Linked DNA regions of Rattus norvegicus. The protein of the gene in region 4 purifies or fractionates together with the protein of the main gene of each other region. This does not show direct contact. Links are inferred from orthologs where the notes say so. Each region holds a gene or a part of one and is shown on either strand. Other genes may lie near its edges.

Evidence for each region.
Region 1: the proteins of Usp15 (region 4) and Smad4 purify together in Homo sapiens (affinity purification with western blotting; 4 studies listed by BioGRID). This does not show direct contact. The link is inferred for Rattus norvegicus from reciprocal best matches to the Homo sapiens genes USP15 and SMAD4.
Region 2: the proteins of Usp15 (region 4) and Glul purify together in Homo sapiens (affinity purification with mass spectrometry; 3 studies listed by BioGRID, with this or other methods). This does not show direct contact. The link is inferred for Rattus norvegicus from reciprocal best matches to the Homo sapiens genes USP15 and GLUL.
Region 3: the proteins of Usp15 (region 4) and Prpf3 purify together in Homo sapiens (affinity purification with mass spectrometry; 3 studies listed by BioGRID and IntAct, with this or other methods). This does not show direct contact. The link is inferred for Rattus norvegicus from reciprocal best matches to the Homo sapiens genes USP15 and PRPF3.
Region 5: the proteins of Usp15 (region 4) and Smad7 purify together in Homo sapiens (affinity purification with western blotting; 3 studies listed by BioGRID). This does not show direct contact. The link is inferred for Rattus norvegicus from reciprocal best matches to the Homo sapiens genes USP15 and SMAD7.
Region 6: the proteins of Usp15 (region 4) and Psmd7 purify together in Homo sapiens (affinity purification with mass spectrometry; 3 studies listed by BioGRID, with this or other methods). This does not show direct contact. The link is inferred for Rattus norvegicus from reciprocal best matches to the Homo sapiens genes USP15 and PSMD7.
Region 7: the proteins of Usp15 (region 4) and Tgfbr1 purify together in Homo sapiens (affinity purification with western blotting; 4 studies listed by BioGRID). This does not show direct contact. The link is inferred for Rattus norvegicus from reciprocal best matches to the Homo sapiens genes USP15 and TGFBR1.

What each region holds. Positions count from the first base shown.
Region 1 is NC_086036.1:69,539,228-69,543,382, forward strand, and holds part of Smad4 (mothers against decapentaplegic homolog 4), read right to left. Parts: intron 794-4,155; coding exon 581-793; intron 1-580. UniProt on the Homo sapiens protein: In muscle physiology, plays a central role in the balance between atrophy and hypertrophy. When recruited by MSTN, promotes atrophy response via phosphorylated SMAD2/4.
Region 2 is NC_086031.1:68,574,249-68,578,986, reverse strand, and holds the start of Glul (glutamine synthetase), read right to left. Parts: upstream 2,922-4,738; 5' UTR 2,803-2,921; intron 2,452-2,802; exon of another isoform or gene 2,430-2,451; intron 2,139-2,429; exon of another isoform or gene 1,814-2,138; coding exon of another isoform or gene 1,725-1,813; intron 160-1,724; coding exon of another isoform or gene 147-159; coding exon 1-146. UniProt on the Homo sapiens protein: Glutamine synthetase that catalyzes the ATP-dependent conversion of glutamate and ammonia to glutamine.
Region 3 is NC_086020.1:186,078,799-186,082,953, forward strand, and holds part of Prpf3 (U4/U6 small nuclear ribonucleoprotein Prp3), read right to left. Parts: intron 2,623-4,155; coding exon 2,316-2,622; intron 1,737-2,315; coding exon 1,570-1,736; intron 1-1,569. UniProt on the Homo sapiens protein: Plays a role in pre-mRNA splicing as component of the U4/U6-U5 tri-snRNP complex that is involved in spliceosome assembly, and as component of the precatalytic spliceosome (spliceosome B complex).
Region 4 is NC_086025.1:60,642,616-60,645,868, forward strand, and holds the end of Usp15 (ubiquitin carboxyl-terminal hydrolase 15), read right to left. Parts: intron 1,461-3,253; coding exon 1,278-1,460; 3' UTR 996-1,277; downstream 1-995. UniProt on the Homo sapiens protein: Hydrolase that removes conjugated ubiquitin from target proteins and regulates various pathways such as the TGF-beta receptor signaling, NF-kappa-B and RNF41/NRDP1-PRKN pathways.
Region 5 is NC_086036.1:71,261,652-71,266,600, reverse strand, and holds the start of Smad7 (mothers against decapentaplegic homolog 7), read right to left. Parts: upstream 3,094-4,949; 5' UTR 1,672-3,093; coding exon 1,059-1,671; intron 1-1,058. UniProt on the Homo sapiens protein: Antagonist of signaling by TGF-beta (transforming growth factor) type 1 receptor superfamily members; has been shown to inhibit TGF-beta (Transforming growth factor) and activin signaling by associating with their receptors thus preventing SMAD2 access.
Region 6 is NC_086037.1:52,405,658-52,408,704, forward strand, and holds part of Psmd7 (26S proteasome non-ATPase regulatory subunit 7), read right to left. Parts: intron 3,047-3,047; coding exon 2,954-3,046; intron 2,400-2,953; coding exon 2,302-2,399; intron 1,579-2,301; coding exon 1,498-1,578; intron 1-1,497.
Region 7 is NC_086023.1:66,479,972-66,484,126, reverse strand, and holds part of Tgfbr1 (TGF-beta receptor type-1 precursor), read right to left. Parts: intron 3,153-4,155; coding exon 2,913-3,152; intron 601-2,912; coding exon of another isoform or gene 589-600; coding exon 358-588; intron 1-357. UniProt on the Homo sapiens protein: Transmembrane serine/threonine kinase forming with the TGF-beta type II serine/threonine kinase receptor, TGFBR2, the non-promiscuous receptor for the TGF-beta cytokines TGFB1, TGFB2 and TGFB3.

The DNA.
Region 1 (4,155 bases), on a different chromosome or scaffold from region 4:
AGCTTGGTAACCTGAGTCACCAGGAACCCATGTAACGGGAGAAGGAGAGAAATGACTTCACAAAGTTATCCCTGCTCATGCACATACATGCACACACACAATTACACATGTAAACACATACGGTAATAAAAAATTAAATTAAAATTACTTGTTAACTACTTAACTATTTCTCTAAAATCTCTCTGAAAAGTACAGGGGACTTTGTGCTCACACATACAATAGTAAACAACATGTGTAAGATTTCAACTGAAGATCACAGTCAAAGTCACTATATTAGTAAACAACATGTGTAAATTTCAACTGAGGATCACGGTCAAAGTCACTATATTTGACTGTGTGTCAGTATTAGAAACTTTAAACAAATTACAAACACTACTTTCTCCATAACGAATTCAAATACCAACCTAACATATGTTTACTTCCAGGCTGAGTGGTATGGCTCCAGAGTGAGACTTCACCGGGCATGTATCAGGCTCCATACCATACCCAGCACCAGAAAGACCACAACAGCTCCAAGTGACTACAGATACATATCCCATGGTTAGGAAAACTTACGACTCTATCTGACTGCAACACTCACTTGTGGAAGCCACAGGAATGTTGGGGAAGTTGGTGGTACTGGTGGCATTAGACTCTGATGGGGCTAACAGAGCTGGGGCGCTGTACGTCTCCGTGGATGCGCGATTACTTGGTGGATGTTGGATGGTTTGAATCGAATGTCCTTCCGTGGGTAAGGATGGCTGTCCTTCAAAGTCATGAACATATTCATCCTTCACTAACATACTTGGTGGAGCTATGCAAAAAGAAAAGACACATTTTTATATTCTTCCATTTTCACACACACAAAAAACTACATACCAAGTAATATGACAGTATCTAAAACTTAACCATAATATCAATTCACATTCAGAATTGCTTTTCATATTGCAGAAAAGCATTTTCTCAGCTATAGCTACATTAGAGATTTTATCAATTTGACTCACTGAAATTTGAAGACATATTCTTCAGTTTTCTGACAAACTTAGAAGTACATAATCATCTAAATAAGTAAAAACCAATGCCTAGCAAAATGAGTTCAGTCCCTCCATCAGACATAGGATGTGTCTATGCCTTCACCTGGTGAAGAAGAATTCTGCCTCCCTGAGGATTTCCCACGTTTAACCTCATCCTCAAGCCATTGGAGACAGTGCTGCTGTCACACCTGAGAAAAGGCACCTAAAACCACACACGCCAGTGCTCTTTCACGATCACCAACATAAAGATACCGAGTCAGTCTACAAGCACACAGGCAGGCACTCAGTCTGACGCTGTCCATCGATGACTCCTCCATCTCTCACAGGCTTGACTCACTTGAAGCGATAGTGCAATCCACATGGAAAGACATCAGCAAGCAGAAGCACCATCTTAACACGGTGACCACTGAATTAGCTGAACTTAAGAGCCAACTTCCAGACAAGGGGCTCTGCATCCAAAGTACCAAAACTAAGACAGGAAGGATAATCAACTTGTCTCTGACATGGCCCAAGTGTTCGTAAATATGAGCAGAGGAACGTCACCACAGTACTGGCAACACCCACACTAAAGCCGCATGGATCACTGACTACTGACTCCTGCTTATTCTACTCCAGGTTGAAGAGGAAGCCTGTCAGGTGACAGGAGACCATGTTCCCCAATATGATCCTAATCCCCCGCTCTTTCAGCATTCTTACATGCCACTTGGCTGAGGATCTCAAAGCTTTCGGTAAGTGCCATTACAGAAAGCCGGAGTTCCAACAACCTTCAAGAGGTGCCAGGTGAGCCAATCAAAGGTCAGTAAAAGGTCCTCAGCATAGGCCACCATCCTGTCCACTCCAGGAGAACTCATCATTTCTCTAACAGTCCTGCTTCAGTCAAGGATATTAAATTCAAGGAGGAAATAGCCCAAGCCCATCATGCAAGTCTGAGGGCCATACCTCCTGCCTGTCCTGCAAGTCTGAGGGCTGTAGCCAAAGGAACCACAACATTAGGGAAATGGTAGGTCTTATCTGTGGAACTACAGAGAGTTTTATTGGGTTAAAAATGTAGGAGAGAGTTCAGTAAGCTTTGGAACTTTTCTCAGCTGTGTTAGGTTGTCGGCCATATTATTAAAGTCATCTTATCCTTTAATTGATTTGACAAACATAAAAAAGATACACTTTAGGCACATGAGAAAAGACTGCTCACAGGTACTCCATGGGTTGGAAAAACCATGCTAAGGAAAGAACTTACATCAAGACCAAAAGCCTGATCATCATCTATCATGGAGTCTGACAAGATGGCTGCTCAAAATGGACAGATGCTAGCACAAGTCGTGAGGGATATGGGGCTTACAGACTATGAGCCCAGAGCTATGATCAGATGTTGAAGTGTGCCTTCCAATATGTGACCACAGTTCTAGATGATGCTAAAATGTATTCAAGCCATGCCAAGAAGCTACGGTTTATGCAGATGTGCACTGGCAATACAGTGTCTGCTGACCAATCTTTGATGTCTCCTCCTCTGAAAGACTTAATAGATTTTTCGAGACAAAGAAATGATGACTGTGATAAGCTGTAATCCACCCATAATACTTGTAACAATATATGCTTGTTCTCAAATCCACTGCACCAAAATTAAGTAGTATACTGCATGTGTTCAAGCTGTATTTTAGAATATGGTACATTAATTATACTTAATTATACTATGGTTTTCAATTAAAATGCTGAGTCTATTTTAGTAGAATTAGTAATGGTTTTCCATTGACTTTTAGGTATAGAAATAAATTGCCAAAAATTTCAAAAGCGCAAAGAAAGAAGGGAAGGAGAGGAGGAAGGAAGAAGGGAAAGAGGGAGGGAGGGAGGGAGGGAGGGAGGGAGGGAGGGAGGGAGGGAGGGAGGGAGGAAGAAGGGAAAGAGGGAGGGAGGGAGGAGTATGTTTGGAAGTCCTGCCAGCCTAGAGAAAAAAAAAAACAAGTCACAAAACACTATGGTGATACACAGATTTAGGGGCTCAGAAGATGATTTGCTACCAAGGCTAGACACCTGAGAACGGTTCCAGAAACTCACAGTAAGAGAAATGATGCCAAGTAATCACATGCATGCACCCATGTGTGTGTGTGCACACACAGGAATGCATGCATCCACATGCACATACATACTTGCTTTAAAAAAAGAACCCACCAAGGCCCAGAAGTGTTCACAGTTTGTGATTTTTATATATAAAAAAGGGAATAATGCATGTATTTTCTGCATGAAAAATAAAGACGCCCTGGAAGCAAACACTAGGACCTAACCAAGTGACCACACAAGCAGAGATGGGAGCACTGGGAGCCAGCTTTCACCAGACACCTTTCTATATTGTTTCATTTATGGACCAATTATGCTGCTTATTAAAAAAACCAATTAAAAAATACAGTCTATACTTTTTAAGTCCATGAAAAAAGACTCAGTTCTCTACAGGACTAGAACTGATAAAAAGGGTTTACTAGAGTGGCTCACAGAATGCAGTCCAGCTAGTCCAGCAATGGCTGTCTCCTGAAGGAAAGTCCAAGAATCCAGCATGGGTTCAGTGCACGAGACTCCGTGTCTCAGCAGTCTTCAGTATACATGAATCCTGGAGGAGGCGGCTCTGGCAGCAGTGAAGGACTGCGTCCCCTCACCAGCAAGATCTATGAACTTGCCAGTGAGTGTGCAAGAAGGCAGAGACAAACATTCTTTGTGCCTTTGTATAGGCTGCCCTGAGGTGCAGTCAGATTTAAAGTGGGTCTTCCAACTTCAAGCAGTCTGCATTTAAAATAGGTCTTCCTACCTCAAATGATCCAATTAGGTAAAAACCCCTCACAGGTATGCCTAGTGTAGGCTTGGGATGTTAGTAAATCCAGATATAATCAAGTTGACCATCAAGAATAGCTAAGACAAGTCGTCTACTCCTTGTCAAGCCAACACACCATCACATCTTATTTCATGCTTAATTTCCAAATAAAACCAACAATCAGGTCAAAATTTCACCTAACCTGACATACTATCACACTTACAACCAGAAGCACATTATGTACTTTAGAGAAGGTGACAATGTTTTTGGAGGACATTCTTTTAGTACCTCAAATACAATTACACTCTGATGTTATCTCAGTGATGCTACACTTCAGGATAAAAACGT
Region 2 (4,738 bases), on a different chromosome or scaffold from region 4:
CAGTCCAGAGTACGGGTCTTGCAGCGTAGCCCTTCCCCGGTACCATCAACCCAGATATACATGAGTTGGATCTTCTCGCCCTGGGGCAGGTTCATGTACATCTGCTTGATGCCTTTGTTCAAGTGGGAACTTGCTGAGGTGGCCATGGTGGAAGGTGTTCTGGAGAGAGACGAAGATCGTTCGGTTAACATCTACTCCAAAGGGATCCCCTGCAGGAGTGGCAAAGGAGTCAGACTGGATGGAGGGCACCGTGCTCTCTCTCCTTTGGGACTCAACACACGTAAAAGGTGCTTTATTCACTCTGTTTGCAAGAGGTTTAACGTTTCCTACTAGACAAAGATCGTCCCCCTCAGGGGGACTAGTTAAGGGATTTTAATAACTGTTAACCTTGAGATACATTAGTAAAACAGAACAAAATATCAAAAAGCTCATTAACATAACTCATTCCACCCAACAGAACTACCTCACTGCCACAGAAAGCCTTGACTAATGGACTGTTGAGCCTTCCTTTGTCACCTCCTATTCCTGTAACAACCTTAAGGGACACGCACACCCCATCATGACCCCTAGTCCCTGCATTTAGACGGTTTACCTAGTTATGTAGCCCTGGGATTTGCGATGTAGACCAGGCTAGCCTCATACCCACATCGGCCAGCCTTGGCTTCCCGAATGCTAAAATTAAAAGTGTGTGCCACTGCCAAGTTAGATTTAACAATGATACACTGGAGCTAGTAAGATTTTACACACTCACATACTCCTCGGAGAAAGAAAAACAACCCTGTATTAAATGCCACCACTAATGTGGTGAAAAGTAAAAGCCATACTTGAACGAGTACACTGCTGATTTTGGGGGGGGGGGGACGGAATTCTCTACAAGCCCTCTCTGTCCTGGTACTCATTATGAAGACCAAGATTTCCTGAAATCAGACAATCTACCGGTCTCCTGAGAACTGGGATTAAAGGTATTCCCCTCTACACCAGGCCTCAATGGCTGACTTCATTACTGGGATGAAAAGTCCTTCCTCCAGAGACAGATTTCAATGCGAAAATTACAGTATTTGAGAAGATCCCACCAGATGATATTTTCTGGTGAGTAGAAAAAAATCCCACCTCTAATAAAGACCCCGGGGGCACAAGATTACAAGTCACAGGAGCAGGGGACAAGATCCTCTATGAATCAGAGCCTGCAAAACCAGCCTCAACCCAAGAGGAAACATCCCCCTCCCTAATCACCCAGGATAGATGGAAAGGGAACATATTGTTCTCCTCCCAGCGACTTGGGCAACTTTCTGAAGTACAGTGGCAAAGTTTCTACGGGCAACTGTCCATGTTTGCCCAAGTGAAAACAAGTGCTTCTCCCTCCAAAAGCCTAACCCTTTCCCTGGGGAACAGATGAATCTCTGCGGTGGATTTCTACACAGAACCAGAACCTCTACCTACACCACTCCGAGGCCTGGACTGTAATTCCAGATGGCTTCAACTTACACCACCCAATTCTCTCTCGGCTTGCCTCTCCTGTGGCTTACACATCCAGCATTTAACAATCTTTAGGTGAACCTGGGTTCCTCCTCTGTTCCTGGAAACCAGTTGGGTACCAGCAGCCTAGTGTACCTAGCACCAACTAGTGTCCCTGTGGTGCAAAGTGGAACGGGTTCTTAAGATTCTGAGTAGTTTCTGCTTGTTGCCAGATGCACCCGGGTCCTTCTCCCTGCCTTTTTACTCACCCCAGCCAATGTGAATCAAATACATTGAGGTTGTACTCTCTAATCCTCCTCTTTTTAGAGTAGTGTTCGTTCCTCTCCTCCAGCTCCATTTCTCGCTGGTCTAAGCAACGCTGCTTTCTGGGTGAGGGCGATGGGATGGGGGACCCAGATCGTTCGGAGTGGGAGGTGCTGGAATAAGTAGGCTGGTGGGATTTAACCTTAGCCCTCGACTTCTCCCCGTTGTTCACAGAGTAGGCAACGAAGCCGAAGGTATTAGAAGGGGACTCTGAGAACCGAGACTCTCCATCGTCTATGTCTTCAGCCGGTGCTTTCTTTGAGTATTTGCGGTTGGGGGAGGATCCCCGCTTCCCGCCCCCGGAGGAGTTGGGGTAATCCACTTTGAGAAGCAGCCCTTCCCACTAAAATAACCGGAAAGTCGGCGCCCCGACTCTCGGACCCCCGCAGATCTCAAGGCCTCTCCCAAGGGGCCATACCCCGGCGAGGACAGAGGCCGGACGGCGAGAGTGGAGCGACGGCGGGAGGCACAGCGTGCTGCTGCTGCCTCCGCCCGGCCCCGCCTCTCCACTGCAGAGCCCTCCGGCCACTCCGGGGTCCCGGCTCTCCATTGTTCGGTCATACGGTAAAGGCGTTGCGTGCTGGCGAGTGGTGCCACCAAAGCTAACGACCACCAGCCTCAACCAGACCACCCACAGCGTGACAACTCACCCAATCGCGCCGCCCAGAGAGGATCAAGGCGCCGGCGCCCACTTAAGGCAAGAAGAGCGCACTCCCGCTGGGACCACCGAGTCGCCCCGGATCTCGGCTTGGTAGCCAACCCAGGACGCCCGCCTCCGGGGCGGCGCCTCCCGCCTCAAGTAAAAAACAGATCATAACAACCCGCAACCCCGCCCTTCCCGGAGCCTGGCTCACAGCGCGCCCTAGGAACGCCAAACAGAGCCGGCCCGAGCCGCACGCTACAAGCACGCGGGAGGCACGAACGCTGCATCCCGCGCCAAGCAGCAACAGACTGGAGCTGGGATGTAGAGTGCGACGCCACAGCCCGGGTGGCTGTGCACCCCTGGACCCTCCGTGCGCTTACCAGAGCGGTGGCCGGCAGGATGATGGATGGGTGGACAGGCCACGAGAACGAGACGAAGAGCGGAGAGGAAATGGGTGTGCTGCTCAAACACTCCGCCCTACTCCCATTCTCGGCTGTGCAGGGTTGCGGGCTGCTCAGTACTTTTTATTGGCAGCTTGTGCCCGCCCCCAGGCGCCCTGATTGGCTGGCCTAGGCCTGGAACCCCGTGCCCATCAGTTGCTGTGCACCGGGGCCCTGAGACCATTGGCCCAGGAGCCGTGAGGAACCGCGGGGTGGGGCGAGCGACCCAGAAGAAAGAAAGAGAAAGGGGAATGGGGGAGGGGAGGCAGCGGCGGCTGGGGGGCCGGGGCCGAAGGTGCTGTGCGCCTTTGCAGCACGCGTTCTTTAGCGACCTCTGGACCCTCGGACCCAGGCTGAGACTGTCTCAGCGTCATTTGGCCTTGGTCCTTTGCTACCTTAACAGTACAGAGGTTTTCGGAGAGATCTGTCGGTGAAAATCCAGAACCCCAGAAGAGAATTTTACCCTTTGTTGAGCGAGCCAGAGACAGACAGGATTCCCGGAACCTGGAGGACCCCATCTTCCTGGCTTCCTGACTGGGTTTGGGGGATGTGATCAGGCTGTGATTTCACGGTTTAAACACAAGTGTGACGTTTCTATAAAGAGGATTTTTGAGGACCGTAGACTGACTGACGTTGCCTTGTGTGTCTCGCAAGTCTCTGAGCCTCTCAGTGCCCGAGTTCCTTAGATCTGCAAAATAAAGCAGATGGAAGGACTTTCAAAGCGGTCCACCAGACTTGAAGTCAGGATGCAGACCGTGTGCTAAAGAGTGGTGGTGGCACATACCTTTAGTACTAGCACTCAGGAGTCAGAGGCTGGTGGATCTCCGGAGTTCGGGGCCAGTCTGGTCTACAGAGGGAGTTCCAGGACAGCCAGGGTTTCACAGAGAAAACGTGTCTCAACAAACAATAAGAAAGCAAGGGAAGAAAGAAATCCCTGCTTTTGCTTCTTGTTTGTTTTTAAGTATGTGGGGAGCGGGGCGGGGGGGGGGGGAATGAGTTTCTCTTTCCTTTCTTAACCCTGCAGTGTTGGCTGAGATAATGTGTAAACACTATGAGACAAACTGAAAATGTGCACAGAAATTACCTGTAAAAATAGACGTGGCCCATATATTATTAATGCCACGTTCTGAGCAATCTGTGTCTAGTACATGAAATCTACCTCATGTCCGGTCTTTATTATATGTTTTCAGGAGCCCTGGTGTTTGAGATGGAGATTTTCTAACACCAGAAATCCATGCTCTTGGTGCCTTTGGAAGAGGAAGGGATGGAGTTTGTTCTTCTGGTTATGTTTTGCACCACAAATATGAAAAAGAAATGTTGCCTGTGACCACACACACATAGCTCGGCCTCTTAAGTCAACCTCTGTCAACTCCCCTAAGTGTGTCTAACACTGTGGCTCACAGAAGCTGCATCCACCTCAAACGGGCTTTTTGGTATGCTTTGGACCAGAAAGACACCTTGCAAATCCAGTGTCCTATTCAGCTGTGTGAAGCGTTCTACTCGCACGGCGTTCGGCAGCGGGGTTTCACATCAGGCAAACCCAAGTCCAGATTCGTACCTCACCTCTTGCCACCTTGATTAATAGCCAAATTAATAACTACCCAAGCTCTCTTAGCATTTGTAGCAGTGGGAACTGGACCATGAAGAGTATTAGGAAAACACTGTCACCTCACAGGGCAGTATAAGCTGGAGAGACTGGATCATTTCTTTCCATGGTTAGTCTCTCTCTGTGTATGTGTGTTACTTGTTGCATCCATGTACATAGAGGTCAGAGGCTGACTTTAGGGTGTCGTCTTCTGTCACCCTGTCACTCTCCACTTTTTTTTTGAGACAGGGTCTTTCATCGACCCAACTTATTAGACTGGCTGTCCTGTGA
Region 3 (4,155 bases), on a different chromosome or scaffold from region 4:
CTAGAGGGGGTTGTAAACTCTGTAGTAAAGCACTTACTTAATTTGCATAAGCTTTGAGTATTACTAGTATTACCCATACTTCAAAAAGATGCCAGGAGTGGTGGTACACCTTTAATGTTAACACCCAGGAGGCAGAGGCAGGTGGATGTCTTTGAGTTTAAGGACACTCTACTGTACACAGTAAGTTCCAAGCTAGCCATGGCTACATATTGAGACTCTATCAAATCTCTCCCTGGAAAACAAAAACATAAAAAAACCTATGAAAAGAAAAAGAATGAAAAGAAATCAGTTACTAAATAAAGCAAGAGGACTAGAAAAATGGCTCGATGGCTAAGAACACTTCTACTAGACTGGGCAGTGGTATTGAACACCTTTTGTCCCAGCACTCAGAAGCTAGAAGCCAGCCTGTGACAAAGTGATAGCCAGGGCTACCCAGAAAAACCCTGTCTCAAAACAGCAAAACCAACAAAAAACCCAACTAACTGAAACCCACTTCTGCTTTTCCAGAGGCCCAGGGTTCAGTTCCTAGCACCCACACAATGACTTGTCAATGGGTACAACTCCAGGTCCTGAGCATCTGGCAGTCTTTTCTGCCCTCCTCAGGCACTAGGGAAACATGTGGCACATATTCATACACTTGCAGGCTATTCAGGCAAAGCATTCATACATATACAATAAAAATAAAAAGAAAGCTGACTGTAGGGCTAGAGACATGGCTCAGGGGTCAAGAGCACTGACTGCTCTTCCAGAGGTCCTGAGTTCGACCCTCAGCAACCACATGGTGGCTCACAACCGTCTGTAATGGGATCCAATGCCCTCTTCTGAAGATGTCTCTGTACTCATACATAAAATAAATAAATAAATCTTTAAAAAAAAAAGCAAGCAAGCAAGCAAGCTGACTATAGTAGCCCACACCTGAAATTCCAACATTCTTACAACAAAATGGGAACTGGAAAAAAGTGAATGGTTGGCAAAATCCTATGTGGAACACACTGGAGGTAACAAGAGAGACACCCCTCCTCCCAAACCTGTCTCAACAATGTAGAAGGAAAAACTGATAAAAAACTATACATGGGCACACCTGTACATCTGCATGCCTGTACACACACACACACACACACACACACACACACACACACACACACCACTAAATTTAAAGGGTGGGGAAAAAAAAAGCAGTGATAAATTTTCCTTTTTTGCAGCTCTGGTATCAAACCCAAGTACCTTCTACAGACGAGGCACATGTTTAACCACTGAACTAAAAATGGATCTTTATAAGCAGGTAAATACACAGAATACATAGTAAGAAAAAACCATAAAACTCTAAAATATGCCAAGATAAAATAGACCCTGGGTTCATCCCCTAGCCCTACAAAAATTAAAAAGTAAATATATGTTTTTCAGACTCATTTCACATTACTGGTCTCTGATTTTGGTACACTAACCCCAAAAGCTAAACATAAGTCAAGTCGGTTTGAAAACCTGTTTGTGTAGTTATTTACTCCTCTGCATTTAAAGTGTTATCTGATGTGTATTAGCACCTTTCTCTTGGTAACTTAACAAACTCACAGGTCAAAGCCATTGGGAATGATGTAGGAGTCCCACCACTCAATTTCAGGGATGTCGCCTTCCTTCAGCTCTTTTTTAGGAGCAATGAGGGCAAGTCTAGTCGACGTATGAATGCCTGTTTTTCTAGCAGCCTGTGAAATCTCTGCTTGCAGCTTTTCCAACTGAGCCTAAGAGCAAGACCAAACAAGGTAGGGAGGTAAGTTAGAGCAAAGAACGTCGTAGAGACACAAATTTGACAACAAATTTAACTCTTATTAAATTCTCACACCTAATGTAATGAGTTCACAACGTCTCAAGGGTTTGAAAGAGAAGCTGCCTCACTTTACTCGGTTTACTTACTCCCCCAACTCTTGTCTCTTTCACTCATACTGCGTGTTTTCAGTAGACATACATTGGTGGGAGTCCATAGAAACCTCACTCTGAGAAGACAAAAGGGTCAATCTAACTAACTACAGTCAATCCAACGCTCCCAAGCACATAGATTTCCTGTAGTCAATTTTAAAATCAGGCAATCGTTCAACAAAAGAAGTCAAGAAATTGCTTTGAGCTGTTCTCCTCAACTGTCAGTCAATGGGAAAATATCTACATAAGCAGAAAGCAGTCAGGAAGAGAAATCTAGTAAACAACAAACATTCTAAGAATATTAGACCACTTAAACCAACTACTCATTGTTTTAAATTGTTTCTATTTCCCAAATATATGGACCTAAAAGTGTCTTTGTGTCAGCTTCTTAACTTCTAAATTACCTTTGTCCGTAATCGTTGAGCAATCTTCTCAAATTTGCCCTTGTCATGGAATTTAAAAGTGCGTCTTTGACGCTGGGAAGGGGCAATTGAGACTCTGGGGTCAAAAAAGGTATTAGATTCCATGTCTTCTGATGGCTTTTCTTTTAGTTGCTGTTTGAACTGTTCCCTCTTCACAGCTCGAATGTTTGCCTTCAGGGTGGGCATGCGGTGTGTGAGCTCCACCTCCTTGCCTGTGGCATCCACAGTGCGGCCTTGCTCATCCAGGATCAGTGGGGTGGGCTTCGTCTGATCTTTTAACTCGACTTTCCTGAAAAAACAAAACATCCCCCAAAGAAATAAATCCTACATGGAACAACAAAGCAAGGAAAACCCAACAGAAAACAAAAGGAATCAGACTTATCAAAGACAATTGTAAATTAACCTTAGGGAAGGCAATCTCATCAGTGCTTAGGCTTGGTAAAATCTCCATTTAAAAAAAAAAAAAAATCAGAGGGCTGGAGAGTTGGCTCAGTGGTTAAGAGCATTGACTGCTCTTCCAGAGGTCCTGAGTTCAATTCCCAGCAACTACATGGTGACCCACAACCATCTATAATGGGATCCAATGCCTCCTGGTGTGTCTGCAGACAGTAAATCTTAAAAAAAAAAAAAAAAAAATCAGGGTTGGGGATTTAGCTCAGTGGTAGAGCGCTTGCCTAGGAAGCGCAAGGCCCTGGGTTCGGTCCCCAGCTCCGGAAAAAAAAAAAAAAAAAAAAAAAAAAAAAAAAATCAGAGTAGGGGGACTGAGAAGAGATGGCTCAGTTGAGAAAAGGACCTGGGTTTGATTTTCAACCCCAGTTGGGCCTTACGGTTGCCTGTAACTTGAGTTCTAGGGAATTCTAGGCCTCTTTCTGACCTCTGAAGATACCATCTACCCAGGAGCTACAAAGATATCTATGCAGGCAAAATATTCATATGCATAAAATAAATCTTGAAACAAAACAGCAAAAAATGTAAATTAGTTCTGTTTTTTAGCTAAGAGTTAATATAAAATAAAACATCAAACCATGATGAGGATATATCTCAGTATTTGAGAATTTGTACAGCACATTCAAGTTCATGGGCTCCCACAAAAAATACATCAAACCAAGTATTTGGAAACAGGGTATAATCAAATGAAATTAATTCTAAAATCATATTGAGAAAAATTTGTTCTTTTTTCCCCCTGGTTTTTCGAGATAGGGTTTGTGTAGCCCTAGCTATCCTGGAATATAGCCCAGACTGGCCTCAAACTCTGACTTCCCTGCCTCTGCCTCCTAAATACTGAAATTAAAGACATGTGCTCTTGCCACCACCTGGTCATTATCTAATCTTGTTTTATTCCCAAATTCTTCTCCTTTTTCAAAATTTATTTTCAGGTCCTCCAGAACCAGACTTAAAGATAGCCAACCTGTGAGTACGGAGAACCAAACCTTGGTCCTCTGGAATAGCAGCAAGTACTCTGAACTACTAGCCACCTTTCCACCAAACCCTCACCTGCCCTTTTTTGTTCTTATTTCACCTGCATTGGTGTTTTGTCTGCATGTAAGTCTGTGTAAGTGCATTGGGTCCTACAGAACTGGAGTCACAAACAATTGTGAGCCACCATGTGGACACTAGGAATTGAACCTGAATCCTTTGGAAGAAGAACCAGTGGTTTAACCATTGAGCCATCTTCTAGGTTATTCCCCTTCACCCCCATCCCTTTTGTGGTGGTTCAAGGGACTGAGAGCCCAAGGCCTCCTGCATACTAGCCAGACGTTCTACTACTGGGATGCATGGGAAACAACTCTATCATTTGCACCCAAGTTCTTAGTCTTGGGAT
Region 4 (3,253 bases):
TTAAAGGCAGTATTGCCTGCCAATCATCCATACATTCTTTCAACTGGATCAGAGGGAGAGAAAAGCAGCAAATGAAAATGTATCAAATGCTCACATATATATTTGGCGTCTTGGATCCTTGACTGTGAGAAGCTAAATGAAACCCAAGGTTTGTATGCGTCATGTGCTGCACAGGTTCTGACTGTGGAACGAACATGCAAATGCTATTTCTCTTATACAAGTTACCTTCTGAGAGAAGCTGTAAGGCTATGGTGAATTCCATCAGGAATACACAGAGAAAGTTAACAGACCTACCTCTAGAGCCAAATTAGCAATGAGTTAAAGGCTAGTACATGAACAGAAAACCTCGCCTAACTTTGATGCAATTCTTAGTACAGATACAGAGTACTAACCAGCCTGCCTTAAAGCTATAGTAACTGGGAGAGCTAAAAAGTTGCCAAATTACCAAAATGGAGTGGAGAATAATAGACAGCAAAACATGAAACCTTTCATTTTAACCAACAGTGAATTGAAGATAAGCATTTTAAACCAAAACAAAATTGAAAAATTTATAGATTCCAATTGCAGTGAAAGATACTTACATGTAGCTGAAAATGATTTTGATGGCATGTGAAATCTAGAACGTGTTCCCACAGTGAGCGAGATAAACGTAATGTTCTGCACTTTAATGATACAACAAAAGGGAACTTCCTCAAGGCTGCTCCTCGGGTTGTGGTAACAGACCCACACTGATTACCAGGGACAGACAGACTGGGAGATCTGGTGTACCAAGGGCACTGCAGTGTCTGGGCCACACTGACAGCAGCTAAGTACCCGAGAGGTGCAGACAGCCAGCCTAGCGCACAGGACTAGATTACCCAAGAACCAAGTTCAGCCAGAGTTTCCTTGCAGTATTATTAGAGCAAAATTAATGACCAACATCCACAAAGTTAACATTTGTCATCAATTAAGTCACATCCAAAAATTAAAGAAAACATAATTGATCAAAACAGCAGCAAACTTAAAAGGGATTTATTTGTGATTTCCTATATATATTTAGCTTGTAAATACAAGACTGTAAATGTATTAAGAGACAATTTCTGTTAAAGTTTTCATTGTGTTTCACTTCAAGTACTGCACAAGTTAAAATCTGATAAAGGATTTACATTCGGGTATCTGAAACGCCTCCTCTCAGACCTCTGTTTAATGCGGTGGGTAACTCCGTCTCCACAGATACCACCGGCAGGAAAGTCTCTCTCTCTCTTTCTCTCTCTCTCGTATGGCTTCTTGGACTTTCATTAATTAGTGTGCATACAGTTTTCATTTTCTAGATCATTGTCATTATCATTGCTGTCTTCGTCACTTTCCAGGGGGACACCTGTGGCAGCTGAAGCACCTTTAGTTTCTCGGTCGAGAGGGAAGAAGCCAGTTCCACTGAAAGTGTCCTGTCTCTGGTAGAAGAGCACGTATGCTGCTTTGGACTGTTGAACAAGTAAGGTGTGTCAATGGTGGCAACACACAAAAATCATAGCTGATATGGCACAAAGTTTTAGCTAATAACCAATTTTAGTGACAAAAAAACAAATAGTAAAACTACACATGATCATAAGGAAGCAACTAAAATTGGCTAAATATTATTATTTCTATATTTAAAAATAAACAGGTTAATTCTATATAATTTGGACTAAGAAATATATATAGTCAAAATATAAATTAACATACTTACCATAATATAAAACACAATAGTTTTTCTATTTACTTGAAGGTTGAGTATCTTTCTATCTAACAACAAGTGTTTCAGCTTATGCTGGACCTCTAGTGCAACTTTTCCTGTTATATAACATTTCCTCAGGTGGTTAAACATGTTGAACTTTTCTCCAGTATTTATTAGGAGAACACTGATTTTTTAAAAAAAAAAAAAAAAAAAAAAAAAAAAAGAAAGTACAAAAGTGACAATCAGGAACAGAAAAGGGCAGGAGTAGATGGGACAAGTCCAGAGAATAAAGCTTACCGAAGGACACTACTCACACCCCTGAAATGTCATACAGAAACCTGTTCCTGTATAATTCACATATGCGAAAGACATCTCTTTTTCTTTTTGGTTTTCTGAGTCATGCTTTCCTGTGTAGCCCTGGCTGTCCTGGAAAACTCAGTCTATAGGCTAGGCTGCCTTCCTATTCAGAGATCTGCCTGTCTCTGCTTCCCGAGTGCTGGGACTAAAGGTGTGTGCTACCATTCCCAACTTGAAAATACTCATTTCAAAGGACTATTTTCAAGGGTATGCATTCCCTTCCCAGCAGCCCTTGCAGGCAACTGGGCTTTGCTAACCCAGGACTGCAGGGTGGCATGGCCTGAGCCACTGGAGGAGAAGTAGCTTGTTGATTAGACTTGGAAGCTGGGTACTGATGTGGAACTTTACCCCGTCACGGCACTGCTGGAGGTTTGCATAGAGGTTATGATCGATACAATTACCACCAAAGAGGGGTCACCGCGGAGGGCCTGGTGCACCTGAGCATGACCACCTGTCCCACCCCTATCTATGAAGGATTCAACTGAGGCTGAAGCTTCATGTCCTGACTGAGAGCTAGTGTCCAATAAAAGGTGTATCTTTTATAATTTATTTAAATTTGTTTTTACTTTGTATAGGTGTTTGGTCTGCAAGTATGTTTGAGCATCAATGAGAAACCTGGTTCTATAGAAGCCAGAAGAGGGCGCTGGATCCCTTGAAACTGGAGTTAGATGGTTGTGAGCTGTCATTTGGTTTCTGGGAAGAGTTCCCAGGGTCCCTGGAAAAGCAGCCAGTGCTTTTAACCACTGAGCATCTTCATGGCTCCTTTATCACTTTATAAGATTGCCCAGGCTACCAAGAATGAACATAGGACACTACAGGAGATGAAGGGTTCTGCAGAGCAAAGGAAACTAATGAGCAGAATGAACTGACAGCTTACAGAATGGGAGAAAATCTTTACTACATATATTTCAAACAGGGTTTAAATCTAAATAAAGAACTACAAAAATTCAACCCCCACAACAAAAGTGTCAACCAATAAATGGGCCAGTGAACAGTTCTCAAAAGAAACAATAAACAATAGTTTTAAATATGAGCCACACTTAGCCAACAAGAATGCAAACTATGAGTCCACCTAACCACAGTAAGAATGGCTGAGATCAAGATGCAAATGACGAGTGCTGTTGAGGATGTATGGAAAGTGGAAGCTTCACTTCCTGCAGGCGGGCGGGAGTGTGGACTGGTACAGCCCTTTATGGAACTCAG
Region 5 (4,949 bases), on a different chromosome or scaffold from region 4:
TGGGCCGCGCAATGAACAGTCCATAGGGTGGGGGGCGTCTGGGGCTGCTTAGTGTCTTTTACAACTACAGATCCCGCTTCTCCGGCCCTCCCCGCCACTAGGAGCACAATTCACCTCCGCCCCCACTGCTGAGCTTGGCACCCACGCACTAGGGAATCCTACCCAGCCAGCCCACCTGAGAGGGAAAAAAAAAACACCCAAGTGAGCTGCTGGTGAACTTGGAAGATTTGCAGGGATCAGGGCATGATCCTCTACCCTGAGCACAAAGACAAGGAGCAAACAGAAGGCATGGAAAACCTAACAGGATAATATGGGGAGGAACCTGTTCAGGGTCCCGGCCATGAAGCCCAGGCCAATTATGGTGCAGGGAGGGACGTCACTGAAACGCAGGGGTGGGAGTGTCGGGCGTTCTAAGGACCACTAATTGTACGCTTTTCTGTGCGAAATAAAGATAAAAAAGTAGAGGCCACCCAACTTCTCCAGGCTGTTTGCTCCTTCTCGCCCCGAAGTGTGCACAGCTGAGACTGGATACCCAGTTCAGTCTCCATCCTACCACTGCCCCCAAACTCCAAAGCTGGGAGGCCAGGACAGTATCTGGGCCACTCGTGCCCCACGTGACTGTCCTTATTTACTAAAGGAGAGACTCTCCAGCCTTTAAAGCTAGTTTCTCCCAGCCTTCCTTGGCGGGCTTGGGCCGAATCCAACTCGGCCACACACCTCAACGCCTTTCCGGGTGCGGGGGAAGCGTGATCCCCCACTTTGCTCTGTATCCCCTTGCATACCCGGAAATAAGAGTGTCTCGTTTTCTGCAGCATGTCAGTTCAGTATAAGGCTAAGCAGCAGTATCCCTGGGTCTCTTCCTCTGGAGGGAGGGGGGATGGTGCAAGAGCAAAATCTTGAAAGGGAACCCCAAGGAATGTCAGAGTTTCCCCCCCCTCGTTCCTTCTTTGATTTAGTTCCCTTGTCTCCTCCAGGAGATAATGCACACACCCTCGAGCATTTCTACCAGCATTTCCTCGCCAGAGGGAACGAAAGGTGGACTCAGAACAACTTCTTACCTAGTTCACAGAGTCGACTAAGGTGATGGGGGTTGCAGCACACCAGCTCGGGGTTGATCTTCCCGTAAGATTCACAGCAACACAGCCTCTTGACTTCCGAGGAATGCCTGAGATCCGGCCACCTGAACACTTTGCACAGCAGGAGGGGGAGCGAGTAGGACGAGGGCGGCTGCGCGGGCTGCGCGCTGGCGGGCGCCCCCGGGCCCAGCCTGCAGTCCAGGCGGCCGGGCAGCAGGAGGCACGCGGTGCGCGTACCGCCGCGGGACTCCACGGCCTGAAGCAGCAGCTCCAGCTGCCGCTCCTTGAGTTTCTTGAGCACCGAGTGCGTGAGCGCCTTCAGATCCGCCTCGGCGCCCCCGGCCGCCCCGGCACCCGAGGATGGGGGATGGGGATGGTGGTGACCTTTGGCACCTCGGACTGCCTTACCCAGGCAGCAGCCAGCCCTGCCCGCACCGCCGCCACCAGCCCCATAAGCCCGGCCGTCCGTCGCCCCTTCTCCCCGCAGGTCGCCTCCGCCGCCGCCACCCCCCACGCCCTCCTCCTCGTCCTCGCCGCCGGGCGCACGGCTCCTCCAGAGACGCCGGACGAGCGCAGATCGTTTGGTCCTGAACATGCGGGGCGAGGAGGCGAGGAGAAAAGTCGTTTGCCGGCTAAGGAGCGAACATGACCTCCGCACACCATGAAGAAGTCGGGCGCCGAGTTGGGGCAGCAGGCGCAGGCGACAGCAACAACAGCAGGGGCCCGGGCAGAAGCGGCGGCGGCCCGAGGGGCGCTCCGTGGCATGCGCCAGTCTCCCGGAGGCCGGGGCGCGCGCGGGGGCCCAGGGGCGCCCGCCGGGGATCGGGGGCCTGCGCTTCGGCTGCCCCACCCGGCGCGGCCCGCGCCCTGCGCGGCTCTCGGGCCCCGGCGTGCCCCTGAGGAACGCGGCCGCCGCTTCCCTGGGGGCGGCCGAGGCAGCCCCGGTCGACGCCTCTCCCCAAAAAGGCCCCCCTACAGTGGCTCCCGAGTGTCGGGCTCGCCAGCCTCGGCTTCCTACATGGAAGATCCTCAGGGGCAAAAAACGAAAGACGTTAGGCTGAGCTACTGAAGGGAGGAAAAAGCCTCTTTCCCCCTTGCTAAGCAACTTAATTTGGGGGTGGGGAGAAGCAGGCAATTAAAAAAAAAAAAGGCAGGCACACGATTTATTTTTTTCTTCTATATCCTTAGTAACCGGATCTCCTCGAATTCTGTGCACGCGAAGACTTGAGGGAGGGGGCCGAGTAGACTTCACCCCTCGTGAGATGTCTGGAGGGTCTCTCAAAAACCCCAAAACCAAATATGCAAAGCCCCCAGTGAAAAAACACACCACCTTCTCGCACCTCGGAGGTCTGGAGGGCACCGGATGGAGCCGGGGTTTAAAAAGAGAAAATGTTTACAAAGTAGAACAAGATGTTGGAAGGGTGGGGGGAAAAACCGTATCCACGAGTTACATCCCCTTTTTTTCCTTGCTGAACCCCGCCGGTCTTCCTTTCCTTTTCTTCTGTCAAAAAAAAAAATCGTATTTCTTTTAATCCACAGAAAGGTCTGGTTAGGCTGCTTCAATCTTGCGTATCTGGGTGTTTTAGAGTCTCTGGTCTTTCCTCCTGCGCTCCCGGGGGCCCAGGTCCTCGGCGGGGACTTCCTCCGCGCTGGGGAAGCAGGGACAGAAGATGCTGCGGCGGCGGCTGCGCCCCGGGGGGCTGTCAGCGCGGGGGAGGGCGGCGCGGCGGCGGGCTCCGGCGGGTCGCAAGCTCTCGCCCCCGAGGGCACAGGCGGCAGGCTAGCTAGCGTGGGGGCTGCCGGTGCCCCTTCTCCTGGCCGAGGGTGGTCGCTGGGGCTGCTCGCATAAGCTGCTGGCCCCGACCCGACAGTGGCGGCAGGAGGCCCGGGTGTCCTCTCGCAGCCTCTTCCTCCGAGACTCTCTTCGTCGCGCCCGGGAGCCTCCTCGTCCCCCGTCCGCCCTCTCCTGGCGCTCGAGTCCTTCTGCCGCCGCTGGGGGCTCGCCGCGCCGCACTCAGGGACTCCGGGGCCGAGCGCTCGGCGGCGTGGCGCCGGCTGGCTGGCTGCGTCTCAGGCAGCTCTCCGGCGCGGCGAGCGGACCGAGCGAGGCGCCCGGCTGGCTCTGCTGGCGCTGCTCGGGGACAAGATCCTCTGTGCGCCGAGCAGCGAGCGAATGTGCCCAGGGCTCGCCGCCTCCCGCAAGGCCTCCCGCCTCCGCCCCCTTCCCTCCCCCCTCTACCCCTCCCTCCCCCGCCCCCAGCCGCCGCCGCCTCCTTCCCGCCCCCCCACCCGTCCCTCCGCTCGGCTGGTTCCACTGCGCAGTGGCGCGCCCGGCTCCGGCCTCGTCACGTGGCCGTCTAGACACCCTGTCGCTTTAAAAAAAAAAAAGCGATTGTGTTTCGCAAACAACAGATCGGGTTTCTAAAAGCTATTTCAACCCCCCTCCCAGTTACCGCCACCCTCTCCCAGGTCTACAGAGGGGTACCCACGGGCGGAGGGAGGTGGGAGGCCGAGACGGCCCCGGGGGTCGGCGGAGACCCAGGGGGAGCAGGGGGAAATCGGAAGAGCTGGGGGCGTGGAGCGGGCGAGTTTGGAGCGGAATGAGCCGGTCAGTGGCCCGATTTAGACCAGTGGAGCTCGCCGGGGCGCTTCATTCATTCGTTTTGTTTTAAGGCCCTGGCGGCGGATCCCTTGGAAAGGGGAGGAGATCGCTGTCTGTTTCAAAGACATTTACACCGGCCAGGACAGAGGCCCTGGGAAGTGTGCGCTAGAGGGAACAGCCGGGCGGCCGAGGGCGGAGAGGCGGCGCGAATGTGACCTCAGCGGCCGCCGCGCTCCCTCCCGCCCTCTCCCGCTCCGGGCTCGGGTTTCTAGGACTGCCTGGAGAAGTGTGTCTTGTGCACAGCTCTGGAATGCATTTGGCAGGCTGACGAGCAGCGAGGGGCAGCATCCTGGAGGGAGGAGGGGTGCAGCTCGCCTGCGCGCCGCCGTCAGGTTTCCTCCGGGCTTGGAAGACCTCCGGCACCCGCCACTCGGCCTCCTGGCGCGCGAACGTTACCCAGTGAGCAGACCTGCTTAGAGCATTCAATCGCATGCGGGGCCTACTTGGGGTCAGAGAGTTTTTCCCTTGACCTCAGGTTCCAGAGAAAGCTATCCCCAGATGCAGGTGACTGCTTGGAACTAGAAAAGGTATTTGTCAAGCGAAAGTCCTGTGGGTGCTGGTCTGAGGATAGTACTAGGGTGTTAAATGTGACTGAGACAACTAGTTGGCATGGTGACCCAGACTCACATATTTATTGGGTTTTTTTGAAAAGTCTCTTGAGGGGCTGGGGATTTAGCTCAGTGGTAGAGCGCTTACCTAGGAAGCGCAAGGCCCTGGGTTCGGTCCCCAGCTCCGAAAAAAAGAACCAAAAAGAAAAAAGAAAAAAGAAAAGTCTCTTGAAATTGTAACAGGATAGTAATAAAACTCATGGGGGTGGGGTAAAGATTTTTTACCAAATGTGGACTGTAATTATTTCTTCCAACCGGAATTATATGTTCTGACCAGTAACTTCTGTTTCTAACCTGATAGATACTTTCAAGGGCTGGAAGTATAATTCATTAGAGGTCCTGGGTTGAGTTACTAGCAACTCAAACAAGGTAGGAGTCAAGGTAGGAGTTAGGTCTGCAGACCATTCCCCTACCGCACTATATGATAAAAAAAAAAAAGAAAAAAAAGAAAACCACAAGTTTGTCACATGATCCTCTCCCGGCGTGGGAGCCCTAAGTTGTGGAAGGAAGACAATATCGTCATCAACAAGACTGGACAGATAGTGGCACGTAGGCAGTTACTGGGTAGCATAGTAATTTTGCTAAAAATTAAAATGCCGCTTA
Region 6 (3,047 bases), on a different chromosome or scaffold from region 4:
TCCACAGTAATGGTGGGGTCAGGTTCACTTTGAAAAATAAGCCCTCAAGGCTAAGACAGACCTTGCTGCTAGCCTGTTTGCATGGTGCTGCCACTACATTGTTCTCTGAGGAAAGCTTTCTTGTCAAGGAAAATTGGGGCATTCCCTCAAGCCCACACTGGTGGGGTGGAGCAATGCACGGAAGACTCAGGTTAAGAATTTCTAGAATGGAAATACAGAATACCCGCACTTGAGGCACATTCATGCCAACACGTACTGTCCCCTGGATCACATGACCGAGTAGTCCCAGTGTGACAGAGAGTAACTAGAGGGTAGAATAAAAGGATCCACATGGGGCTGGGGATTTAGCTCAGTGGTAGAGCGCGTACCTAGGAAGCGCAAGGCCCTGGGTTCGGTCCCCAGCTCCGAGGAAAAAAAAAAAAAGAACCAAAAAGCATCCACTGAGGGGCTGGTCACTCCACCATCTGGTGACTCAATGGTGGAACTTTTCAGCCCTGTTGCCAACAGAGGTCATGATCTTTTATGAGGGCTCCTCAGACTTAAGGGCTCCACTAGTTTGGCTAAGTGAGCCCCAGGGCCTTGGGCAAGTCTCTCAAGTCACGTTACACATTGGACCTGCTGGAGTGTGGCTGGTTCTCATATTATTCAGGGCAGCATGGGGACTCCCTAAAGGTCACTCTAGTCTTTGGACACTAGGATGGCCTGAGAACTTCAGGACAACGGGTAAGGAACCAGGGGTAAAAGCTTTAATGCCATCAAACAACATCTGGACCTAGCTCCTTAGGGCTGCAAAAGAACAGGACAAGGCTTAGTGCAAGGCTGGGAGGGCACCACCCTAGAACACCCTTTTCAAATCCTAAAGCCATAAAGAAGAGGTATTACACTCTTAATCCCTCCTGACTCTGAAGACCAGGCTCCTGGACACCCTGATAAATACTCTGTGCCCATCCCCCAACCCTGCTACATCAGGCTTTACCAAAGAGCTCCAAACCAGCTTTCCTGAGGATAGAGAAAGATTGGCTACTGCTCAGTGCTCTATTCAATGCAATCCCAGCCACAAAGATCACAGGTCTCACCATGGCGCTGTCTTGCTATGTTTGAGAACCCAGGGCCTGTCTGAAGGACTCACGAGTGCACTGCCCACTGTACTAGAGCAGAAGCCTCCCAGACCTCCCTTTCCCTCGCTGTGAAGGTCTCTGAGGTGTAAGCACTGAACTGTTTGGTCTCAATGACAACTCTGGGCTTCACCTCAGTCACTCACCAAGGCTTCAGTTTCTTTAGTGAAAAAGGATGGCAGGTTCCTCAATCCTTTTCTATTTCTAAAATTTGATGATTAAAAAACTCAAGGCTGGTTTGCTAGCCACACTCAACCTTCTCTTTGTTACAGAGAAAGAGTTGTTGAGTTGAACATGGAAAAGAAAACAAAACCAAACCAAAAAGCCCCCAAAGTCACCCGAGAACCTGCTAATCCATTCTGCAGCCCGAAGCAGGACTTACATCATGAACTTCCTCCACTGAGATGTAGGCTTCGGTCGGAAGCCCCAAGTCTTTTGGCTTCACATCAATAATGACCAGTACCTGGCAGAGAACACAGCTTAGCAAGAGCCTTCCTTTTTGACACAAGGTACAACTTCAAGACTTCTTCTGACTACTCACACCACTTTCTTCATTCAATCAGAAACAAGCCGGATATTCAGCGAAAATAAGTTGACATTTCATGTGACCCACAGTTCACCTGTCCAAATTCCAACCTGTACCTCACTCCCCACCAGATCTTTTTTTTAATTTACACTCTTAACCTTAAAAAAATTTTTTTTACACTTAAACATTGCATTTTTCTAGAGAGAAAGGGGGGGGGGAGGAGAAAGGTGGAGGGAGAGAAGGAGAGAGAGAGAGAGACAGAGACAGAGACAGTGAGATAGAGACACAGAATATACAGAATTGTGGGAGTCTCTCTTCCTAGTGTGGGTCCAGGCAGAGACCTTGTAGGTTTGGTGATAGGGTCTTTCCTCACTGACACAGCCACCTTGCTGGCCCTCTAGCCATACTTCACTTCGGTTTCCTCATTTATAAAGCCAACATCCAGTTTCTGAGAGGATTAAGTCAGATGTACATGGCACCAGCAGGTGCCATTAAATATACTAAGTCACACCAAATTAACACAGCTCCACATTACTGCTAAAGGCTTTGGAGACACAAAAGCATGCCTGGCTACCCAGGCCTTCTGAGGAGGCTCTTACTTGAGTAGGGGCAGAGAGCATCAGTGTTCTGATGACAGTGTTCTGACGACAGTGTACTTACCGAGTTGGGGCAGTATCTCTTCATGAGTTCATTGATGGCGATATCGTTCTTGTGCAGTTTGGGGCCTGTGTGGTACCACCCAACTATTCTTTCTCTGGCTGGGAAGCAAAACCTTAGTAAGTTTTAATTATTTCATCAAGATCTGTGCCACCGACTCAGAAACAGTAAGAACACCAGCACTTACTTAGGCTTTCTACCTTTTTGAGAATTCCAGACAAAAATAAATCTTGACACATCTTTGAAATCTAAAACTACAAAACAGAATTCTAAGAGAGTGAAGCCTGGAGACATCTGTCTCCCAGACTTGCTTAGGGTCCAGTCACACGTGAGGGAGCAGCGTGGGCGTGGGGTGGGTAGGTGGGCCCAGAGCCGTGTGTGCAGCACTCAGTAGCGTCAATGCACCTGGCTAGCACTGGAGCTCTAGGGCAGGCAGCCTCCAGGGCTAGCACAGCCTCCAGCCCGGGTAGTCTACACAGCCTCAGACTGTGACTGTGGTTTATTCATTCTACCTCATTTCTCTATCACTACCAGTCTATTTTCACTTGGTCCAGCTAAGTGGATCGATCCTTGACAATATACAGAGACCAGATTTAAACACACACACACACACACACACACACACACACACACACACACACACACTCAGACTTACCATTGACCTTCTTAAACATCCCATACATGTTTTCCAAATAATCATGGTCTAAAAACCAGACAGAATCATCTTTGTCATCTTCATCAAAAGGTAC
Region 7 (4,155 bases), on a different chromosome or scaffold from region 4:
ATGGTAGCTGCATCTCTTAACCGCAGCTCTATCATGATAAGAATAGTGTCCTACTTTCTACCTCCCGACTCGAGAAAAGCAAATATCATTCTAGAGGGGAGGATGCTTGGAAGTTTATATAACTGTGGAAGTGACTTACTTGCTTCAATGGTGAAACCAAGTTCCAATTTATCTACACTAAAGTATCCAGTCAGATAGACAGCAAGCTCAACAATTTTCATTAGGCCGCAGTCTGGTATAGCACTCATACTCTTCCAAAGTTTTAACAATTTAAGCCAAATGCCCTAACCAACTACTTAAGTAAAATAGCAAAATAGACATATTAAGACTTAAGAAAAAGATAAACAATAACATTACCTGATCCAGACCCTGATGTTGTCATATCATAAATTAAATCTTTTAAGGTGGTGCCCTCTGAAATGAAAGGGCGATCTAGTGAGGGATCCTCTTCATTTGGTACGCGGTGGTGAATGACAGTGCGGTTATGGCAGATATAGACCATCAGCATAAGTGCAATGCAGACGAAGCAGACTGGACCAGCAATGACAGCTGCCAGCTCCACAGGACCGAGGCCAGCTGACTGCTTTTCTGAAAAAGGTCCTCAAATGAAATAAACATCAAGAGAAACAAAACACTGTAGGTGGCACTCACATTTCCCAAATCCTCCATATTTTCCCAAGCGTCCAATACTATCACTTAGTCAGAGCCCCGTCACACAGGGCTCAAGGCAAGATCAAGTTCCCCTCTGTCTGGCCTCCCTCTCACTCTTCCTGGGCGTCCCTGGACCATCTTCTCATTTCTCGTTGAGTGCATCAGCTGACCACCATCCTAGACCTCCTTCCCTGCTTGTCACTTCAGGTAAACTAGAAATGGAACCAACTATTTGAAACAACTTCCAATAACTCATTTTTTTAAATAAATTTTCTTCATATTCCAAGTCTACTGTAGGCTTATAGCAGAGGAAAATATATAAATATAGTTAATAAGGTTTTACAAAGTATCAGCTTCCTTGTGATCCTTCAAAGGCTCATACTTTAGTGTATACATTTCCACCAACTTTTTAAAGCATAAAGACTTCCTCTGTTTACTCTTGTTTTTTACTCTATTTATACATTTTTAAACCTTTCCCTCTCTTATTGTGAGACAGGGTTTTAGCACATAGTTCGTCCAGGCTGGCCTCAAACCTGGGATTCTTCACCCTCTGCCTGACAGCACGGAGATCGTTTTTAAAATAGTTTGTGTATGCATATTCTTTCTAGACTATTTTTTGCCAACTGCATTTTTAATTACATTTATTTTCTTATAATCTCTAAATAAATTAACATTTACCATTTCAAAAACACATTAATATGTTTAAATGTGTCAACAATTAAAGAAAAGAAGGCCAGGAATTTAAAAGAGGAAATGGGGAGGATATATGAAAGGGTTTGGAGGGAGGAATGGAAAGGGAGAACATGATATTATAATCTCAAATATAGTATTTAAATTATATTAATAATAATTTTGGCACTTACCAAACTTTACTTAGTTAACTTGGTTCACTGCTCCCTGCCATTTTTTTTTTCATTTTTGACATCATCATTTAGGTTAATTTATCATATAAAACTCTCTTTCTAGCAATATTCTTTCAGGAAGAATCTTAAATCCTTATATACTGTAAACTTAATTAGATATCTGAAGACAACTGTTAACCTTTGTATAAGAAAAGTCTTTCTAAAAGGCTTACTTTTTTGGGTGATAACCAATATATAATATTCTACTGCCCTCTGATACTGGAATAAAGTAGAAAATCTGAACATTTTCCTCCTTTTTTGGTAATCAGTCTTAAATGCACTGAGGCTTTTTCCCCATAAAAATTCTACTGGACCAGCAAAACAGCTTGTGGGAAAAGATGCCTATTACCAAGTCTGAGAACCTGACTTCAACCCACAGGAACCAAAGGAGAGTGTACACACACGCACACATGCACACACGCGCACGCACACACACGCGCGCACACACACATACACGCACACGCACACGCGCACACACACACACACACACACACACACACACACACACACACACACACTCTGCAGAAATTACTCACAGTTTTGGCCTGTAAGCAGTATTCATTCTTCCATTAAATCTGCTAGTATTAATATAGGTTTTCTCCCATTTTATATTCCTTTGACTATTAAAATAAGAATTCAGGACTTGGAGAGAAAGTGGAAAATTTCCATTTAATTCATTAAGTTTTAAATTACTAGCTATACCAGAACCCTTTATTATTATTTTATGTGTATGGATATTTTGCCTATATGTATGTTTGTGCACCATATCCATGACTGGTGCTTGAGGTCAGAAGTAGGCATTAGATCCCACGAACTGGAGTCACCACATGAATGCTGGGAATTGAACCTAGGTCCTCTGAAAGAGGATCTTTTTTTAAAAAGTATTAAATATTAATTTATACTTACAGATCATAGTGTAACATAATACAAAATGGAAACATTTAGACTGGTTGGTGCACTCGATTTCTGCCCATTAAAAGGCTGTTCATTGGGTTGCCTTAAGATGTAAGTATACCATACGAGAAATGAGAAATGAGAAATTCACTCTGAGAACAAGGCAAGGAAAACCCTAACAACATGTTACCCTATGAGATTCTAGAATTCACTTTGAAGAGGCTACCATTGCATGCATAGCAGATCTCACTGAGAGTCTCTGGGCACTGCTTTCTCTAACACATACCCAGGAGTCAGGCTCCTGGCTACTCATAAATATACAAGGCAACTCTCTGCCTCTACCCTCAACAAGTCAGGCTTGACAATTTCTGTAAACACTTGCAGTTCTAAATTTGTAGGCAGTCTAGAAGCTTTTCTTTTAGCATCTTGGAGGAAGGAAGGAAGGGTGCTAATACAACAACTTACCTGTAGTTGGGAGTTCTATTTTATTGCAGTGATCCTGATTGCAGCAATACGTAACTGCCCCTGTTTTTGAAGATGGTGCACAAACAAATGGCCTGTCTCGGGGAATTAGGTCGATTTCAGCTATACACATGCTATTGTGTATAACTTTGTCTGTGGTCTCGGTGACTGAGACAAAGCAGAGACCATCTGTCTCACAAGTAAAATTGTCCTTTGTACAGAGGTGGCAGAAACACTGTAATGCTAGAGAAAGAGAATAAGGTTTTATTAGAAAAAAAGAGTACCAAGGTTAAGTTTAAAAGTTCACACCACTACTACGTTTTAATTATTATAACAATTTATGCACTGTTCAAATAATGAACATATTATTCATAGAATGTCCAAGAATTACACATATATACAGGCCAGGGTGATTTGGTAAAATTTTGACGTAGCCTCCCCCACCCACCAAAATTTGCCTCCTAGAAAAAATTTCCACAAAATTTCATCTGCCCTCCCATTTGAAATACAGTAAAGTTATACTTGTTCCTAATACTAAATTACACAAACACACACACACACACACACACACACCTCTACAGAGCAATGTGTGAAAATAGTGTCACAAATTTACTACAGGTTGGAAACACCATTTCAGTGGATTTGTGGTAATGAAATAATAGAAACATTCATATTGAGCCACAGATTTTCTATTCATCCTGTGCAACCCCTAAGACATGTATCTTTCCACTGGTATAGGGAAGATTATTCCAGCAACAATTTATATATTCTAGCCATATGGAACATGGCTATATGCCCACTGTATCTATTAGATCTTAAGACTCAACTCTAGGAATGACCTCTTTATGGAAGTGTCTGCTGTCACCAACATCTTCTGTCATACATACCCATACTCTCTAATGGGGTTAAGTGCTTCCCCCAAAAGTATACACAGCTTACCAGAAATGCTGATTTTATTATTTTCTCCCCTAAGAAAATAGAAGCTTTTTGAATTCAGAGACCCATATCCATCCTGGAAATCCACCATATATGGTTCTATGCCTATCGGGAGTATTCAAAAGTTCTTGCTGAATAAACAACACAATAGGTAATCCAATTACTCACTGGCAAAGGAAAAAACCAGTTAGGAGGAATGGCCAAACATGATGAGACCAGGAAGGTTCATTATATCTAGAAAAAGAGTAGTGAGACAGACAGCAGCCCAGAAGAAAGCTATCTTCCTAAATGGCTAGTGCAAGGAAGTTTA